Styela clava: one gene and its partner. The protein of the gene in region 1 purifies or fractionates together with the protein of each later gene. This does not show direct contact. Links are inferred from orthologs where the notes say so. Each region holds a gene or a part of one and is shown in the gene's direction. Other genes may lie near its edges.

The links. Proteins that work in one complex are often made in the same cells at the same time.
Region 2: the proteins of thioredoxin-like (region 1) and apoptosis-inducing factor 1, mitochondrial-like purify together in Homo sapiens (affinity purification with mass spectrometry; 3 studies listed by BioGRID and IntAct, with this or other methods). This does not show direct contact. The link is inferred for Styela clava from reciprocal best matches to the Homo sapiens genes TXN and AIFM1.

The regions. Positions count from the first base shown.
Region 1 is NC_135257.1:18,244,350-18,253,628, forward strand, and holds thioredoxin-like, read left to right. Parts: upstream 1-5,069; 5' UTR 5,070-5,139; coding exon 5,140-5,460; 3' UTR 5,461-6,375; downstream 6,376-9,279. Other genes in the region: tyrosine-protein kinase Src42A-like, read left to right, coding at 6,476-6,599. UniProt on the Homo sapiens protein: Participates in various redox reactions through the reversible oxidation of its active center dithiol to a disulfide and catalyzes dithiol-disulfide exchange reactions.
Region 2 is NC_135263.1:616,807-627,472, forward strand, and holds the start of apoptosis-inducing factor 1, mitochondrial-like, read left to right. Parts: upstream 1-5,814; 5' UTR 5,815-5,844; coding exon 5,845-5,929; intron 5,930-6,620; coding exon 6,621-6,754; intron 6,755-7,733; coding exon 7,734-7,809; intron 7,810-8,465; coding exon 8,466-8,575; intron 8,576-9,818; coding exon 9,819-10,040; intron 10,041-10,655; coding exon 10,656-10,666. UniProt on the Homo sapiens protein: Functions both as NADH oxidoreductase and as regulator of apoptosis.

The DNA.
Region 1 (9,279 bases):
TAAGACCTTCAGTTGATTGGAGTTTTTGCAACTGCACAAAATATTCCCACAAAATTTTGTTCCCATTGCCATCACGCAAAACACCCCACTCCGCAAGGGTGTTTCGGACTAATTTAAGCATGTGACAAACGTCCATGAAAACATAAATCCGCTCAGATGGGCACGAAGGATGAGTAAAATATGATTGCATGCTTACATGCGAGGCAACAACTCCTAAATGAGAGAGCATTGAAAAATGACAAGATGGCCCGTCACAAGTTAAGGATACCACCTTGGCTCCAGTTTCACTCAATCTTTGAATCCCAATCTTTATGATGTTTGCTCTTTCTTCTCCGGTCAATCCATTAATGAGAAAATATCCCAAAGGTACTTTCCAGGACCCATTCACACAAACAGCCATCAAAACAAGAGCTTCCTTGGCAAGTGGAGCAGAATCATCCTGATTTTCAGCATTTCCCAGGTCAACAAAGCCCCGATACCTTTCTCCATCCCAAGCAACATGTTTCCTAATTGCCATTTCATCAATCATCATAGCACAAATCAATGAGTGCGATGCAGCACTCACCTTCAGCCGGATCGCATCAAATGCAATTTTTGTGAAACCAGGCTCAGCTGGAAGTTTCTGGTACCATTTTTTTATTACGCTTGGATGTGGTAAAGCCAGATTTAAGACTTTACGCACTTGAGATATTTGACGCCTTTTCCAGTTTGTAAATTCATTAAAATTCTATTGAAGATTGATGAAAGTATAGATCGCTGTAGACTTTCTTCACATGAAGCACTCACCAAGTTTTTCTTTCTCAGGGACTTTAGCACCGTTTCAAGAGATTTTACATGTTTTTGCAATCGATATGTTTTTTTTTGACAAAGCCGGAGTCGTTTTCTTACTGCTTTTAAATGTTGTAAGCTGAGATTTAATTTTTTTAACTTTGTAGGTGAAGCAATGACCTGTGAATATGAGTGGTCATGGAGCACATTGTTAAATTTCTCCTGCACTGACCACTTCTGCTTTACACATGAATGAAATTTTCTTTTTGTCGGTGACTTTCGCTGTTCGTTGACCTGCAAGAAATTTTGATGATCATGAGCATGTCCCACTTTAGATGCGTTGAACCGAAGCATGTGGCAAAAAACGAGAATTTTGAAAATTTAGAAGGCATTTGTCGTAAAAAAAAATCTCTCACATCACATAAACAGATGATTTTATATAGTTATTCCGATAAACTAAAAATTAAAATACATAACAGATCAAGTCTATTACCATAAGCTAAAATACTAGGTATCTGCATGCTATAGTGATCTTAATTGCCTGATATATGAAAAAAACACCCATTAAAATATGTGACAGGATTTTTTGTCGCTCTGGGTACAACATTTAAAGTTATTGAGGATTCAATTTGTTGTTTATCTTATGCATACCTTTCTTAAATATTTTGGAAATGCTTTGAATCGGGTCGGAACAGCATTGTCCTTAATTCTTGTGCGTTGCCCGGTTCTCTTAATATCGCTCTCTTTAAAATGGTCAGAGCATAAACGTGAAGAACTAGTTGGAATCCAATTCGCCCTCCGCAAAGCAGTTACCCACTTCTCGCAAAGTGCCTTATTCAAAGGAAATCTGAGAAAAATATTGTTAATTATGTATGAGCAAAAAAGAACTGATAATCATTTCATGCAGTAAGTGCACAATTTATTCGGATTTGAGCTACTTGAATTGAAGCAGGCCAGAACCAGAATTTGGATTTAACATAGTCTATCTGTATAGTCAAAAACGCTCTTTTCTAGTCAATAATAGTTTTATGCGCTAAATTGTTGACTACTTTGTATGTTATAAACTTGCTGTCGCCTTCAGCCCAAATGATTTAAATGCTTATACAATTTTTCCAACAACTTTGACTAAATTACAACTTTACTACAAACTGACTTCTGACCTTATAGTTACAGAAGACGAGCCTCAATACTGTACCGAGACAGCTATACCTGTATCTGTATGCATTTACTCTAACATATATCTGTATATCATGATAATAAAACTAGCTTTATCTTTTACAATGTTTAGCAGGCTATGAACAAATTGCTAAGACACACACTGGCAGACAACTGAAAACTGATATTGTTAACACAAACTGCTGGGCTATTTTTCTTACTTATGAAATGTCCTTATTTTCGTTTCAGCACACTTTCCTCGTCATCATCTCCCTCGCTATCACTTCGAAAGTCCTTCTTTTTAAAACGTTTTTTGCAACCATATGCGGAGCACTGAGTACCAATACCGCTACTTTTTCCAATCATTTTCTCCGCCTCAGATTTTTTTGGCAATGCCATACCGTACCTACCTTTAGTTAAACTATTCCGTAACTATATCGTACTGTCAGCCTAAAATATAAAAAAAAATACTAACTAGCTAGTGACAAATACTAACCTAGCCACCTATACTTAGGGAAGTTTGAACGTAAATACCCAATTATGAAACTAGCAGCTTTTAAACACGAAAAACAAGCCAAAACCAGCGAACTACCCTACCAGCAGGAAGAAAGTTTGGAAGCATAAGTGCCAAGATGGCGGCGATCAAATTGTCCCGCGCAGCGACAACGCAAAACGAGAGAGAAGATCGTTCCATATATTTCCAGTTCAGTGGTACAAATGCATAAAGTCGGCGTAGCAAATACGATTATTTAATAAAAAATAAAAATCGCATGGAGAGGGTTAAAACCATGATATTCAAAATTCTAAAAAAATGATTAAAAATCTTGATCTAATTCGGAAACTAATAATAAAAAAAAAAATTATTCTATGTCAAGAAAAAAAAAATAGAGCAAAACTAAAAAATAGCATAAAAATTAAAAAAAAAAAAAAAAATGAACGTAGTCGCAGGCGCCATTACGAGTGACGTCGTTATACTTTGACAAGCTCTATTTCGTGATTGTGACGTCGCAGTGACGTAATTTTTGGATGCCGTAGCCAGGTGGGGGTTCAGGAGTGACATATTAAAAAAAATTGAGCAACGCCCACTAGAAGTATATGTGGTACTAAACGTGGATTTATGAGAGAGATCGCTGCCGTTAGTGAGTTCTTTATCGTCGGCGCAGATGCCATTTCAGGCGATCGTAGGCATACAGAATACGAAAATTCCGTTTGGCATTGGAATTTATTTGGCAAAAAAAAAAAAAAAGGTACTTTGGCAAGCTCTATGACAGTATGGCGTGATGGTGCCGTAATTTTTTGATGGCATAGTCAGGTGGGGTTACAGTACAGCACACTATCCAAATTCCAAGAATTTGGCTCAATAAAACAAACACTTCATGTGTCTCACAAACGAGGGGCCTCTGGGACCACGTCAGATGCTTCATATCATGCCGTGCTTGTCTCAATAATAATCTAAATTAATCGGAGCCGTCACATGATCAAAATTCCCATTTGGTCATTTGGTTTGGCCATTTGTCCAGACGTCTCCCCAAAGGAGGGGTGTCTGATCATCTGTAAAATGGGTTTCTCTGAAACGGGACAATGTCACCCGATATGTATAGTGTGCCGTACTGGGTTAGAATTGACATTTGCAAAAATCATTATGCTACGCTCACTAGAAGTACTTCTGTACTTGGGGTACAAAACTACACGAGACCCGTCAATCTTAACCCCCATCTGACTACGTCATCCAAGAATTATGTCACTACGACATCACAATTATGTCATAGAGCTTGCCAAATATACGTAGAATCGCCCGAAATGGCATTGGCGCCGACGATAAAGAACTGACTGGCGTTATCGATCTCTCTCCTATTGGAATCGTTGCGACAAGAAAACGAGAGAAAATTACGTCACTGCGACGTCACAATCACGATAGGAGAAAGATCGATAACGCCGGTCAGTTCTTTATCGTCGGCGCCAATGCCATTTCAGGCGATTGTACGTATATTTGGCAAGCCCTATGACGTAATTGTGATGTCGTAGTGACGTAATTTTTGGATGCTGTAGTCAGATGGGGGTTAGGATTGACATATCAAAAAATTGTTATGCTACGCCCACTTGAAGTAAGTTAGGTACGAAACTACACGAGACCCTACTTCTTCTTTGTTGTATGTATGTTGAAGTTGAAATTCAATGTTCAAAAGGTAATTTTATTATTTTAAGGGTATGTGATTTATAAAATTTTTCATTTTCGTGGTACTCTTTATTGCTATCAGTTTTCATAATTTCGGGTCAACACTTTTTTTATGGTACCTTTTCTAAGGTTTTGTTGCATAGTTTTAAATCCTAATAAAGTCCTTATAAAAATGTAGCAATAATATTTTTTCACAGTGAATTATGTACGATTGTATTTCAATTATTGGTGTAGTTTTTGAATGAGTTTATAATTTATTTATTTAACTTCTGATGTAAAAAAGTTACGGTAGTTTTCTGAGATACAGTCAACTTGTTTTTCCAAGATCATGTATCTTTGCTTCTTTTAGTAATTATCCAAACTCAATTACCTGAAATTTCTTCATAATACACTGCATTTTATATTTGAACTTTCAAGTTAGAATTCCCACGATTAGTCACTTATTAACTATGCGCATTTATGCAGTCAAAATTTATAGTATAATCTGAAATGAATTTACTTTTCCCTAAATTACTTTCTATACAAATAAGTTCCATTTTCATTTTACCTATTAATTTGCTAAAACTTTTTATGAAAATAATGCTGTTTGAATTGTTCACCTATCCTTACAAATTTATTTGTAAAAAAATTCAAAGTTTTACGATTGTGGTCAAATCTGGCTTGTGTGACAAGCTAAAAAAATTAATCTATACTGGAGCTTTTGGACTAGTCAAAATGAAATAAGGACCAGGCCAAATTCTTGAATATCAATTTTTTCAAATATAGACTTCCTTCAGAGGTCACAGCCATATTCGTTCTGTTGAATGTTTATATAAACCTACCTCGTTCAGTTAATATAGTGGAATGCTTGTGCGATATATGCAGACTGTCTTTTATTATTTTGCCTTTATCCTATATCTTACTGCACTGTATTTGTATTAAAGTACTGGTAATCAGCTAACACAAGTAGCTACCTTTTACTATCTTGCCTTCCTCATGTATCTTACTGCACTGTATTTTTATCAAAGTGATTAGTTAACACAAGTAGCCCAGCTGACAAGATGTCTGTAATACAATGTGATACAAAAGAAGATTTCGATAAGCAACTTTGTGATGCTGGTCAAAAACTTGTTGTTGTCGACTTCTATGCGACTTGGTGCGGACCGTGTAAAGTGATTGGTCCCAAAGTTGCAGCAATGAGTGGGGAATACAAAAATGCTGTTTTTCTAAAAGTGGATGTGGACGAAAATTCAGACACTACTGAAAAGCATGGAATAAGTGCTATGCCTACATTTCTGTTTTTCAAGAATGGTCAAAAAGTTGATGAACTTGTGGGAGCAAGTGAAGCCAAGCTGAGAGAGATGATAGAGAAGAATATTTAGAATCTTTTCAATATAGTTTTGATTTCCTGTAATTGATCCAATAGCGATAAATTATCCCAAAAATCATTTTGAATTCGGGAATGCACAATTTGTAGTCAATTTTAATATTTGTAGTGTTGTAAATTGTAATCTGAGGCTAATTTTTTAATACAGATGTACTCAGTGAAGATGTTACCTGGGTTTAAATAGTTGAATACAGAATTCCGATTTTGAACAAAGTTTGATAAATGTATTTATAAACGGGAATGGGTTTGATAATTTATTTTGCAGTTCTGATTTAAAAAAATTAGTTTTCTGCGATACAGTCAACATATCTCTTCAAGATCATGTATCTTTGCTTTTTTTAGTAATTATCCGAACTCATTAGAAACACGAATAGTCACACAATTTGCTTATGATGAAGTCAAAATTTGTTGCCCAATCTGGATTGAATTTACTTTCTTAGAATTTCTTCCTATATAAATATGTTCTATTTGCACTTTTCGGTATTACTTATTAAATTTGCCCCAAAATTAATGCAATTAGGCTTGAGCACCCATTCTGATATTTTACAACCAGTTTCTCGTAAAATTTGTAGTTTTACCCAATGCGGTCTAATCGAGCATGTTATATCATGATTTGCTAAAAAATATTCTTGAATATTAATCTTTTTAAATATGGACTTCCATAAAGCTCACATGCATATTTGTTCTGTTGAATGTTTATTCAAACGTTCTAGTTAATATAGTGAAATGCTTGTACGATATATGCAGATTATCTCTTGATTTTGCAAATTTTGATGATAATAGGGAATATTCAATATTGTGATAATACATTATTCAAATTTCAGTTTTTTCGAGTGACTATTTTTTATAAACAAATTTTCAGGTATTCGAATTGTAGTACTGACAATAATATTGGTTCTGTTTTATTTAGCTTCGGGATATTACTTTTAAAAATTGAACTTTCCATAACATGTGAAAACTTGTACGATATTCTGAAGTCGGGATATTTTACATTGGATTGAACAACAACCATGGGTGGATGTATAAGGAGGCTGATCGGCCCTCCACAAAATTCAAATACAAATGGAAGTAACCGGCAACCAAAAATGTCACAGGCATCATTTTCAAATATTCAACAACAACAACGATCTCAAAGTAAGAGACTACCAGAATTTTTTTTTTATTTATATCTGCTTTTTTAAATTTATTTATCAAATAACATATCGCCGGATGAGAACAGAACAGGCCTAAGTCACAATTTTGAGTTTTGAGAAAAACGCAAAAAACAATTTGGAATTTTTTTATTTTTGAATATCTAGATATTCACAATTAGTAAAGTCCTGAGCTCTGGTTATTTTAGTTTGGATGAGAATATCTTTGTAATCAATATTTTTTGGCACTTCAGCTTCAATTTCTTTCTGCTTTTTTACCTCCATAAGAGATTTAGGCCCATTCTGTTCTCAACAACTTCTGAAATTTTTTGTATGGGATGCAAAGTAAAAAAAGGTGACTTAGGCCTAAGTTGCACTGAACAAATTTTTAGGGATGTAAGTTTCAGACATTTCATTGCTGATGTTCATGCCCATCATATTGGAACCTATAATTCTTCAGCATGGTGAAGAAATAAATTACTGAGTGATAGACCAGTGATTGTCATTACCAAATAATGTATGTAGGCCTTCTGTTACGAATACATTATGATTAGGGCGAGCACTCAATATGCTTCTAGACAAAAAGGCACACTTAAAACCATTTCTTGCGGAGAAAAACTATCAAATAATGTGCCGACCAAAAATTAAAAATGGGTTAAACATAAAATAATACCATATATTTGCGTAATGAAATGCAGTGCTGGGCACCCATTATGCGTAAGAAAGGTACGCGTAAAATATCTCACATTAAAAACAGGTACACGCCAAATCATGAGCAAACACAATTAACTCCTGTGAGAATTTTGCTGCTGTTTTGTTTCCAATATAAGATTACAAACGAGGCCTCAAAGAAGTTTTTGCAACACGTAGCTCTGCAGCCGCGTGCAGCCGATTTCTTTGCTTCGTTGTAATTGAATCTAGTGATGATAATGTTTTTTTCGCATAACGCAGTAACTGGCTGAAAAGACGGACAACAGTTCGATTGCTCGATTACTTGGCCATGAGTATTCGTTATCAAGAGATATCTAAAATTGTGATAAGTAATTCTTTTTTAATCGGGACTGTAAAGTAGAATCGCCATTTTAATCAAGCCTTTTCTTTTGCAATGGGTTCATCATAAAAATCCCTCTGCAGTTGATCGACGCCTCAAACGAAATGAATTTGCATTACAATGCCAAAGTCGTCGGTAACTTGGCAACAGGCTCAAAATCCTACTGTGTCTGGAAAAGATATCTGCGGCCCATGCTTTTTTGGGCGTGTCGTGACCACCTGTCGCCTGTGGGGTCTCAACAAGTTCCTCTCTTACTGGAATATTATACTGTTCTTGACTGTTTTCTGGTTTGAAAAAGAAGATATGCATTACGTTTTATATGGATGGTCATATTAAGCAGGCAAAGCACGCAGAACAGAAAAAGCACGCATGCCGATTTTGAGGCTTCTTAATTTTGCGAGATTTGATGGAGCGCATTCGCGATGAATCGGAGGCGAAAAGTGTGAATGCTCGGCGCCAAGATGTCGCGTAAGACGGCGTCAAGATGTCGCAATATGACGGGGGAAGAGAATTGCGTAATGAGCCAAAGCAACTTTGTATACGGTAGGCTACAAAGTACAAAAAAAAAACTTTGTATACGGTAAAGCGATTGAGACGGCATAAAAACAACAAAACTTCTCGCGGACCGTCAAAAAAGCTTCGCAGACCGGCACCGGTCCGCGGACCGGCGGTTGGGAACCACTGTCTTAAATGAAGTAAAAATACTTTAACAATTACTGATTAAAAAACAACAAACCTGGTTAAGATATATTGAAAACTGACTTCATATCTAAATTGAAAATTGTAAAGGAACTTTATGAACACCCTGTATATTCTAAAATTGACAGTATTCATTGTAGAATTTTACACAAATCACTGTTAATTTATAGTATTTAGATTTGATCATATCGAATGTGGGAGATAAATTTCATTTTAGATTGATTAAGACTTGCTTATTATTACAGAGAGTGAAGTGAAATTTAGATTCTTTTTATCTGATCATCAGATGCAAATGCCTGAGATAACAAATTTTCGAATGAAGTTATTTTAAATTATTCTCGAGATTAAGATTTGACAGTTAAGTAAAACGTAGAAACTATAAATTGTGTATGTGGGTGGTTCATGAGTAGAAGTCATTCAGTCAGTAGTTATTTTTTCACATGCCGATAGACGATAGTACACATTGTACATATAGAAGTAAAAAAGATTTCGGAAAGACGCGATAAACCAGTTATGCGGTTAACCAGTAGCGCGGCGGTGTGGCTCAACGGGCTAAGCGTTAGGAATACGCTCGCCACCGCACCTCTAATTACTCTGCGTGGGTTCGCAGGTTCGAATCCCATGCAGGGATGGTTATGTGCGAGAGGATTGCTGGACTCCTCGCCGTCGTTGGGTGGTTCACGTAACCGCTGGTCGGTTACGGCTTCCTCCACCACCAAGTCCATGCCTCCGAAAACAAAACAATATAACTAATCCCATACCCGACTTGGAATGGTAACCGGACGAGAGGCCGTGGTTCGCCATATGGATAAGCCGTCTTATCGGCTTTCCTCTCCCCCGGGATAAATATGTAAATCCTATCCTAATGGTTATCGAGCAGCCTCACCCATGAGGGAATCTAACATTAAATCATACTGTATCATAAGTATTGCTA
Region 2 (10,666 bases), on another chromosome or scaffold:
GCTATGTATTGTCAGCAGTACAGGGTTTGAAATATAGGATGACCATAAAGTATTGAATTCATTTTAAAATTGCAAAGGGAATTCATCGATACCATATATTGTTTTGGCCCTCACAGATGTATTAAATGAAGTAAAATACTTGGTGCTCCCGAAGTATGCGGACCAAGATGGCGGACATCGGAACGTAACATGGGTAACAGGTTAGGGTTAGGCCATAATTTTTTTCCAATTTTCCTTATTTTAGTCCTATTATCAGTTCGAAGACTAGCCAAGAGATTCCCGTAGTATTTATACCTAAAATTATGGCCTAAACCTAGTACACATATTACATTCCGATGTCCGCCATCTTGGTTCGCATACTTCGGGAGCCCCAAATACTTAAACAATTATTGATTCAAAAACAACAAACCCGGTTAAGACATAATGAGAACTGACTTCATAACAAAACTGAGATTGAAATAGGACTTATGGACATCTTGTATATAAATTATATTTATATATGATATATACACTGGTCAAAATGATTGATTAACAGCCGGGTGACTTCCCAATTATTACCAAATCAAATAAAAAATAATAAGAATTGTGTTGTTGCTGTGGCCATATCAGTCATTTTTAGGCATTACTATCTTTAGTTCTCAAACAATATAGTAATCTTCCTGCTCTACGTGCCTACGTCCTATTATCGCATTATGTCGCAGACAATGTAATACGTGACGCGCTCGTCGGTTGGTCAGATTATAATTTCAAATTACGACTTTCGTTTGGGGCGATGAATTTCTTAGAGCGTGTATGGCCCCGGTATAGATATTAGGCTTTCCACAAAATTTGATCAAAGCAGGGTTGCGCACTCACTCAAAAATAAAAGAGACTCATCTCTGTGCATAGTTACAGATTCTCACTCTGCAGTAAAGAAGACTCATCTCTGAGCGAACTCTCTCTTGCGCACTCACTCAGAAGTAAAAGAGACTCTTCTCTAATCAAAGTTACAGGCACACACTCAGGAGTAAAAAAGACTCATCTCTGGGCAAAGTTACGGGCACTCACTCAGAAGTAATGACGTCTTATCTCTGAGCAAAGTTACTGGCACTCAGAAGTAAAGAAAACTCATCTCTGAGCATTGTTACGGACACTCAGGGTATGAAAGGAGATTCATCTCTAAGCAAAGTCTCGCGCACTCACTCAGAAGTAAAGGAGATTGATGTCTGAGTGAAGTTACGGATGCTCACTCTAAAGTAAAAAAGAAACATACAAGGAAACTGGTGCGGTTCGCTTATAGAGCAGTATTCTTCAAACTCGTTGCAAGCAATGCTCGAGTGTGTATTATTAAATGACTTCGGGATGCCAACAAAATTCCGGGCAAATGTTAAATGAATTGTAACAGATGCCATAGGAAAATGTAAACAAGATGTCATATTTAGGTGTTCCCATGAAATATAAAAACAACAACATGTGAAATATCGTCCTCACAGGACTCAGGAAAATAGCCCAATGACAAGTTTTAATGGCCATCGAACATTATACGCTATGTTCCCTTCCAGCCTTTGAACAAATTGATGAACGTATTCGAATCGGGTAGTAGATTATTCGAATCGGTGGAGACGAAAATTTCGAATCGCCGCCATCTTGTTTTCCTTTTGTACGGCAAATGTCGAGATGAATCCTTCAATTTTTCTAGAAGATATTATTTTACAATGTAATTCTGACACGAGAAAATTTTCTTTTTAGTAAGTTATTGATGAAACATGTTTCTTATTGTGCGTGAACGCTCAGCGAACTATCTGAGTTATGGTTTCTGTGATGTCACAAACAATCACATATCTTAACTTATGAGATAACAATGGTGTGGCGTGAACAGTCTCTCGCCGAGAAAGTAAATATTATTTTATTTACACGCGGAAAAATTATTTGCTTTGTGATAGTTTGTTGCTGGGGAATACTCTAGTGTTGTGTACATCGCTAACCATGGTCTTGTCACTTTAGAAATTGTCATTTATATACCATAGTCTGGAAGATATATTTGGCGTCAACAACCCTTCTCGCAATGCGGACGGGTTTGACATGTCGCCTACCGACTGTCAAAAAAATAATCTAACCAAATCAATAACGTAAATCAGGGGTGTGCAACCTGCAGCCCACAAAGGAAAATTGTGCGGCCCGCAGAGAGGTGGCAATTTCGAATGATGTTCGGCCAGCGAAACAAGTTTTTAATTTGGTTTAATCTGGTACGCGTAAGAACTTCCTATCCGTTTGGCGTTGCAAAGCCTATACCTGATGCATATGAAGCTCAATGCTCTAACACAAGAGTGGGCAAGGTTTTTGGACCAGGGACCAGACCCACCTAGACTGGCGGGCCATGTAAGTGTGACGTAAAAGTAACATTTTATAAATAATATTTACAAAAGCAAAAGTGGAAAACAATAAGCTTCGTGTCAAAACTAAATCTGAACGCAATCTCAACAAATTCCCTGAACTATTTTTCAGCTAAAACATCAAAAGTTGATTTTAGTTTGGCTGTGGCAGCATCAGGCGGGCCAGATCAAATTACCCAATTTGGTCTGGATCTGGATTTTACCCGCGAGCCGTAGTTTGCTCATTTTAGCGCTAACAGCTGGCTCGACAACTTTTATGCATGTAACCACTAGAAAGCCCATGTTAAATAGAGATGCGGCCCGCAGTTTGCCCAGTTATTCGTATTTGGCCGGCCTGTAAAAGTTGCACACCTCTGACATGAATATATACAAGAAAAAATATGCAGGTTGGCCCTTTCGACACCCGATGTGGACAGGTAATCGGACGAGAGGCCGTGTATCGTCATATTTATTGCGCCGTATTAAATTTCCCTTTTGATCGGGAATAAATGAAAATCCTACTGCAGTTATCCGGTGACCGTACATTTGAACTCGTACTTTTGCACCCGTATATCCGCGGGTTCAATCTATATTCGGGTGCTAAAACCCATGGGTTAGGGTTAGTATGGATTTAAATATCCGTAAAAAAAATTCATAGGTGCAATAGCATGCAGGTGCACTTGTCGTGGGTTCAAATTACGGGTTCAAATGTACGTGGGTTCAAATGTAATGGAACCCAGTTATCCACTTAGCCGATATCGATCTTGCCGATACTCGTGAATGCATTGTGCCATTCGACAGTGGTTCCAATCTTTTTGGTGGAACGGAACCAGAAACATTCCAGAAGCTCGAGGAACCCGTATGCGATAGTTTAGTTGTCTTTTACTGTCTCAGTTGTATAAACTAAGAATAATTATGAACGCAAAACTAATACTAGCAAAAATGGTTATTTAATTGTAATAAATTTAATGTTAGTGGAAACTATTAGATATTGCAATAAATTTAAACAATATGTTTAGTTTAAACAATATATTTAAACAAAATCAATGTAGACTCTCAGATTTAGATGGGAAATGGCGGATTAGTGTCCTTGACCAGTAGTTTCCAACCTTTGACCCCCTTTTTATCATTCCAGAGGTATTCATAGTGTTAATTTTGATTGATATATTCCACAACCCGCCATGTTCAAACAATTCATGCTCAACAAGGTCAAAACACATCCTGTGAAATAACCTTATCAAGCAATAAAACTAGGAAAAATGAGAAGTAATAATTTAACTGAAACATAAAAAAAAAACGGAATTTACGTTTCCGAAGTAAACATTTGTATCCCAAGGTTTTTTTTAGATCAGAAGACGCAAGATTCCGGATTAAATATATATATATATATTTAAAACTGCAACCCGACACTTTAAATAGCAGGAGCAGCAGAAGTTGTGCTGTTTTTTTAGTTTTTAGAGCAGTGTTTTCCAAACTTTTACACCGCGGACCCCTATTTATCAATCTTAGTTTTGACGGACCCACACCTTATACCGTATCAATTTCTGTTCCTAACCAGCGAGGAAGGACAATGTTCTATTTACAACACGATACAAACGACATATGATGGATGAGGTTGCTTTTCTCTGCACAATTTTCGGAGTAATTTGTGGCACACAAACTAGGTCCGACTCTATGGCAAGTCTAGAATCTGTAGTTTGCTATCGTATTGGTAAGAGCTGAGAATGATGTCTCGCACATGCAGGTCGTTGCAAAGCGCAGCAAGAAATAATCGTCCACAACGATAAATTAGAAAGATACAATGACATTTTGATTGAAATCAATCATTAAAGTTCGATCCGTATCTTTTTAAATCGTTGCGGGCCCCCTGTGCAGTCATCACGGATCCCCAGGGGTCCACGGACACCAGTTTGGGAAACCTTGTTTTAGGGTAATGTAATTCCTACTATCACAACACAATTATTTCCATGTTATAGCGACGCAGTTGTGACCTGTATTTCACGGACACACTTTTGCGAATGCCTTCCACTCATTATCCAGATCTGGTCAAGCTTATACAATGACTTCAACTAGAAATGGGTAATTAGATCTTTTAAATTTACTGGACCACAGGTGACAGTTTTCCATTGCGGAATTTAGAGTCCTATAATTAATCTCGCTCTCAATGGTGAGCAATCGGTGCGTATGACACCAATCCGAGCCGCAAAACCGATTATTTGCTTATTTTATCATGCTTTCTGTTGTTCACTATGTTAAGATAGAATTTACATAGTTATCCTGGCGAGAGGAAAGCCGATGGGTCGGCTTAATCATATTGCTAACCACGGCCTCTCGTCCGTTTACCAGTCCATGTCGGGTATGGGATTTGCTAACCAATTATGTGTTGTCAAAACATTAACTTGTGAGGGCCGCGTTTCGCCATTCGATTGAGTCGCTTTATGGGCTTTTCTTTCACTCAAAATAAACAACAATTGTACAACAACTTCAATTGTTTGAAAATACATATATGTTGTAAATACCGTCCACAATTCAAATCCACTAAAGTCGTATGATGTAATATGGACTCCCTGCACTCGTCGTTCGGCCACGGACATATTACGTCATATTATTCGACTAATCTGTCATTATCCGTTGAAAAATCGATGTAAAAATCTATAAAATATTATTCAAAATGCATTTAAACAAATGAGAAGGCTTAGAAACTGTCGGAAGATCTGAAAATTATCGATTTATTTCATTACGCAACACGACTCACTTTGACCCCCACGCTTCCGACACATCTCAGGGGTCAAATGAAAGTTGCCAAATGTGCGCTGCGGTGTTTCTAATGCGAGATTACGAAATCAAATTTGCATCAATAAGATAGGATTTTTATTTTATTTATCCTCGTAGAGAGGAAAGACGATAGGACGGTGTGCTCATATTACGAATCTCTTGCCAGATTAGCAGAGTACGTGTTGATGTTGCCTGGTGGCCTATGCTACGGCTGTATGGCAATACTGCAATGGGTGACCATGTTGCATGTAAACTATTCGACATTGTTGACGAAATAAAATACTACTACTACCGGTACATATTAGTTCCAGTTATTAGTACAGTAGATGCATGGTCTTGGAACATTCATAGCGCTATCATGCCGCCAGTGGCAGAGAATGAAATTATACCGGTACGGTATAGTCATATCTGAATGTCACCACAGGCAGTAAAAAATGTAGAATTCTTGTAATATACCTAATTCTAATTCTGTAATCACTGAATTAGACTGAAACTGCAATATGCACCGTACTTTACTGTCATTCTGTCATTACTTTTACTTATTGAATAATATTGGATTTTGCAATATTGTACTAATCTTTCAAAATCCAACAAAAAAGGCCGTTAATTTATTGAACTTTGCCGAAGTGACTCGAGTCGCCTAAATAAAATGACTCAAACCTAACTTTGATCTAACTTTGCATTTAAAATATTTTTTGCAGACAATTAACTTCCAATCATGTATAGATGTGGTAGGACGTGCAATCAAGCACGAATTTTCGTCAGAAATTTAAAGAAAAATGAGGAAACATCACAAAATATATGTAAGTAGTTCGTTTTTGGTTTTAAAGTGTTTTGGGATTAGGTGTCACAATTTAAGCATAGCTGAAGCAGACATTGAGAATATTTTTATGCTGCGTCAAGTCCAAGCCATTTCAAAACAACTCCAGGGTGAAAGCAAATGGTTGTTCATAAAATTTATATTATTTATGTATGATTGTAGATTTCGCACATTTTGTCATATTTGCAAATTAATTTTAGCAGTAATTCCAATTGATTTGGTCATTAAATCCTTTGCACAAATATCCATATTTTATAAATGCATAATTTGTTGATTTTACCAGATTTGATCATTTTTTAGGTCCAAGCCCTGGCAGGCTGGGACACATTCAAAAGTTTTCTCGCGATGCATGGTTGGGAACGCCCCACTGCGCATGATTCTTGTGTCTCGTATTATTTTAGACCAGAAAAATGAGACCACTGATGGGGAAACAGAGGGCCCAGGAATTTTCAAAGCAGGGTTCTGAAATAGATTGTAACAGCCAGCAGGCCCAACTCTCTTGAGGGTCTGAAAAGCGTTTCAAACTATGAAAAATTGTTATGTAAGATACAGAAAAATGCCTTTTTTTACATTCAAGAGGTGAGGTTTCAACCCTCATTCCCCTCCCCCATTATTGAAACACTGATTTCTACACAGTTGGGAACACTGTCTTAAAGACTATTTCATTTTTTCAGTTTCCAGAACATACAGATTCACTCGGAAAGAGCCGGCAAATCGTCTACAGCTTTACTCCCATCGTTCATTAGATCTTCCGGCTCATATCGGCTCGCTACTATGTATCGGGACTGGAATGATATTTTTTGGAGCTGTAAGTGGATTTTTATAGATTAAAAACTAGGTCATGAGCACAAAGTGCATAGGATTACTCTGAACAAGGCTCTGTGTAAAGAGCTAATAGAAATTGGAACAATGGTTCTCGAAGTCGCTAGGCCGGGGGTCTGAATTAGAAGCAGAAGGATCTTAGCGTGCCAGGAGAGGGAAGCGCCTGCAAGGGGAACAAGGCGCTTAAACTGGGATAATGATCTAACGGTTGCCGGTATCTAAAACACCAAAATGTAAAAAACATATGAAGTGTTTAACTTAAGTTCGACGGGCCATATTGGATCTACCACGAGACGTAATTGACCCACTGGCCGTGGTTTGGGAACCACTGGTTCAGAGTTACCTGAATCATTCCAATTTCTATTCGAGATTATTTATATTCGGTATTCATAATTCTACATTTTGATTTTGGAATAACTTCATTTGAGAATTGAATTGCCTTTTTGAGCTTTTGAAATCTCGCGCTATTATTGAGAGCCTCTATTTACTTTGTTCTGAAAATTAAAAACAGCGGAGCAGTCAAATCACTGCCCATTTTATATGTTTCTGTTAAACGTGATTACGTGAACCAATTCAGAATATATTCGATATATTATAAATTCAAACATGCCCTTTTATAACAGAGGTTCCCAAACCGCAGCCCATGGGCCAATCATGGCCCGCGTAACGATTCATTACGGTCTGACGAATTTAAGTGAAATGGTTTAACACTTGTTTTTTCCTTTTTGTTTTCGTAATACCACAAATTGTTATGTCATTATCACAGTTTAATTACATGTATATTTGTAACAATTCGATTTTACCGATATCTAAATTATATATACCAGAACCTCTGCGGGCCGCGAATATCCTTTCGCTTCTAATTTCGGCCCCGATCATTCAACTTTGGAAACCACTGTTTTGGAATGTAATTAAAATAGAGAATTATCTTATGCTGGTAACAGATAGCATACTTTACATTACAGGCTGCTTTCCAATGTTCCAGTGAAGCTAAAGCTGCAGAAAAACAAGAAGATGATGAAGAAGCCCAAACTGAAGAAGGTGAATTCCCAGATATACCAAAATATAATTAAGTTATTTAGATCAGGGCTTCGCAAATTTTCAAGCTCGTGACCCCTTCTAATATATTAAAATATTCTGCCTACTCTGTTACGTTGGCATTGTTGTGTAGGCTGCGTGCCTCTTCTCCGATCCTATGTATTCTCCCGAAATCGTGATAATTATGTTTTGCACTATTTTTAATAATTGTGTTTCGAATCAAAATTAAAATAGATATTGACTCTATGTGAAATTGGTAAACTTTTTGCGATCCCTAAAATTGATTGCGCGACCCCCAGTTTGAGAGGCTCTGATTTATACCAAATTGAATAGGCTGACCCTGGAGTGCATAATAAACTCCTTATTGCTGTATCCAGGATAATATTAAACTTCATGGTACGGCTACACAGTCAGGTGTCCAATTCCAACGCAGAGTTATTTCAACGTTGACCGTTCAACGTTGGGATTCTACTGTAAATTTTTCCCCGACTTCTATGTCCTGGATTGATATATGCCAAACTCAGGCTCATAACATCCTTCTAATTCTCTATTTTCCTAGATCAAACGCCCCTGGATTATCAGTGTTTTGCAACTTATAAGTCGCGACCCAAAACTGGGTCGTTTGAAATTTTGAAAATAATATCCTAACTTTTATCCAGAGCCTGTTCTTCCAGAGATTCCAGAATCAACACAATATTTATTAATCGGAGGAGGAACAGCATCACACTCAGCCATGAGGGCGATTAAGAAGAGAGATCCAACTGCAAAGGTATGTACAATGGTACTCCTGTTGTATGCGAACCAAGATGGCAGACATCGGAACGTAGTACGTGTACCATGTTAGAGTTAGGCCATAATTCCAGGTACGCATACTACGGGAGTCACTTGGCAAGTCCCTGAACTCGTATTAATAGAACTAAGATATAGAAAATTAGAATAACATTTAGGTTTAGGCAATACCCTTACCTGGACCACATACTACGTTCCGGTGTCCGCCATCTTGGTTCGCATTCTACGGCTACGGGAGTACCTGTTCAATGATGTTTGTTCTGACTCAAAAAAAGCAGATACTCTTGCTACTGTTCTGGGATCTATAGTAGTGGGTGTTGTCATTGTCATATACACAAAGCAAAGTCACACGCAATCACTGACAAAATTATATAGGGTTATAGCGGTGCCGGAAACTTCTTCAGGATTTGAACTTGTGGGCCGCAAAGTACTCTCGACTGGGTGTGCAAAGAGCGATGGATTAGTGGTTAGAGCTGGCATATGAAAACTACGGTCTTTGGATCAAATGCGGCCTGTTAGGTGGCTGGCCCGCCTGATGCTGCCATGAATTTCTGCTTTCAACAAGTCTTGCATGCACTACCTAGTTGTCGTGTGCGGCTATGCGCATCCTTAAGTTTCAATTTAGTGCTGACAAAGTTTTGTTAAAGCCCCTATAACACTCTTTTAATGTTCTTCTTTGTTCATAGCTTACACATTCTGTTCACAAAATGTAACTTTTTACATCACACTAACATGGCCCAGATGTAATTAAGTTTGCACTGCAGGCTTCACTCACAGCCTAATAAAATTGGAAAGGCAATGCCAGACCCGAATGATTATGGACTTAATTAAAGGTGATAGCTTCCTGTCTATCCCTGGCAGCTCGAGCAAAGGCTTGTTTATAACAAAACGGTTTTCTTAGCGCATGATAGCCATCAGGTATATTCATGTCGAAGATAAATAAAGCGCAACCGGTGTTAGCAAAACGATGAATTTGCAGGCGTTTCAAATTTCTTATCAGAACGTAGCCGTCATTAGGACCTGATGAAGTGTTCTAAATAGAAATTTGAAACGTTGGCAAATTATATCGTTTTGCTAACACCGGTTGTGCTTTATTTATCTTCGACAAAACAGCTTTCTGGTCAAATTTTGTATCTTGTTCAATTTATGTTCTCTTCCTGCCATGATAGGAGTAAAGTCATGAAAAATGTTTGAAAAACACTGTTTTCTACAATTTTACTCAGATTCTCATAATAACGGAGGAAGAGATGCGACCCTACATGCGCCCACCACTTTCAAAAGAATTGTGGTTTTCCGATGATAAAGAGGCCGCGAAGGAATTGCAATTCAAACAGTGGAACGGAAAATGGAGGAATCTATTCTATGAGGAGGAGGACTTCTATGTCAAGCCCTCGAAATTACCAACACTGACCTCCGGTGGTGTTGCTCTTTTAAGAGGAAAGAAGGTGCACTATTTATTCAATTAGTCATATGAGTTTTGTGTTTGTTGGTAGAGAATAGAAATTTTTGTCATTTATTCAACTCTGTGCTATTTTGCTGAAAATGCAGTAACCTCATTATCCACAGTTTTTTAAATTCATTGAATATGATACCCACTACCCAGATCTGTCTTAAACAAGTGGAATAAAATGAGTTGATATTCAGCCAAGGAGATTCTTGATTTGAGGAATAGAATTCTATTCTAAAAACTAAAAAATAGAAATCCAATGAAATCATTGTTTATTTGGGCTTGCTTACGTGTTGCAGCCAGGAATTTTCAAAGGGTGTGTCTAGAATCTCTAGCTGTCAAGCTGGACCGTAACAGCTAGCAGATCTGTCCGGAGGACGAAATTGTGGGTTTCGATAGTCTTGTCTTGAAGGTCTAAAAAGCATTTCAAGCTGAGAAAAATTTCTATGGTGTGTTCCTATTCTTATCTGATACTCTGATATCCCTATCCAATATCAGTATATATGCTGCAAAGTAGTGCTTCATTGATTTAATATAGAATGAAATTTGACTCTTTTATAATAAAATGTTATAATCGAAAATGTTGTACTAACTATTGGCTCGTTTTCTTCAGGTGACAAAAAT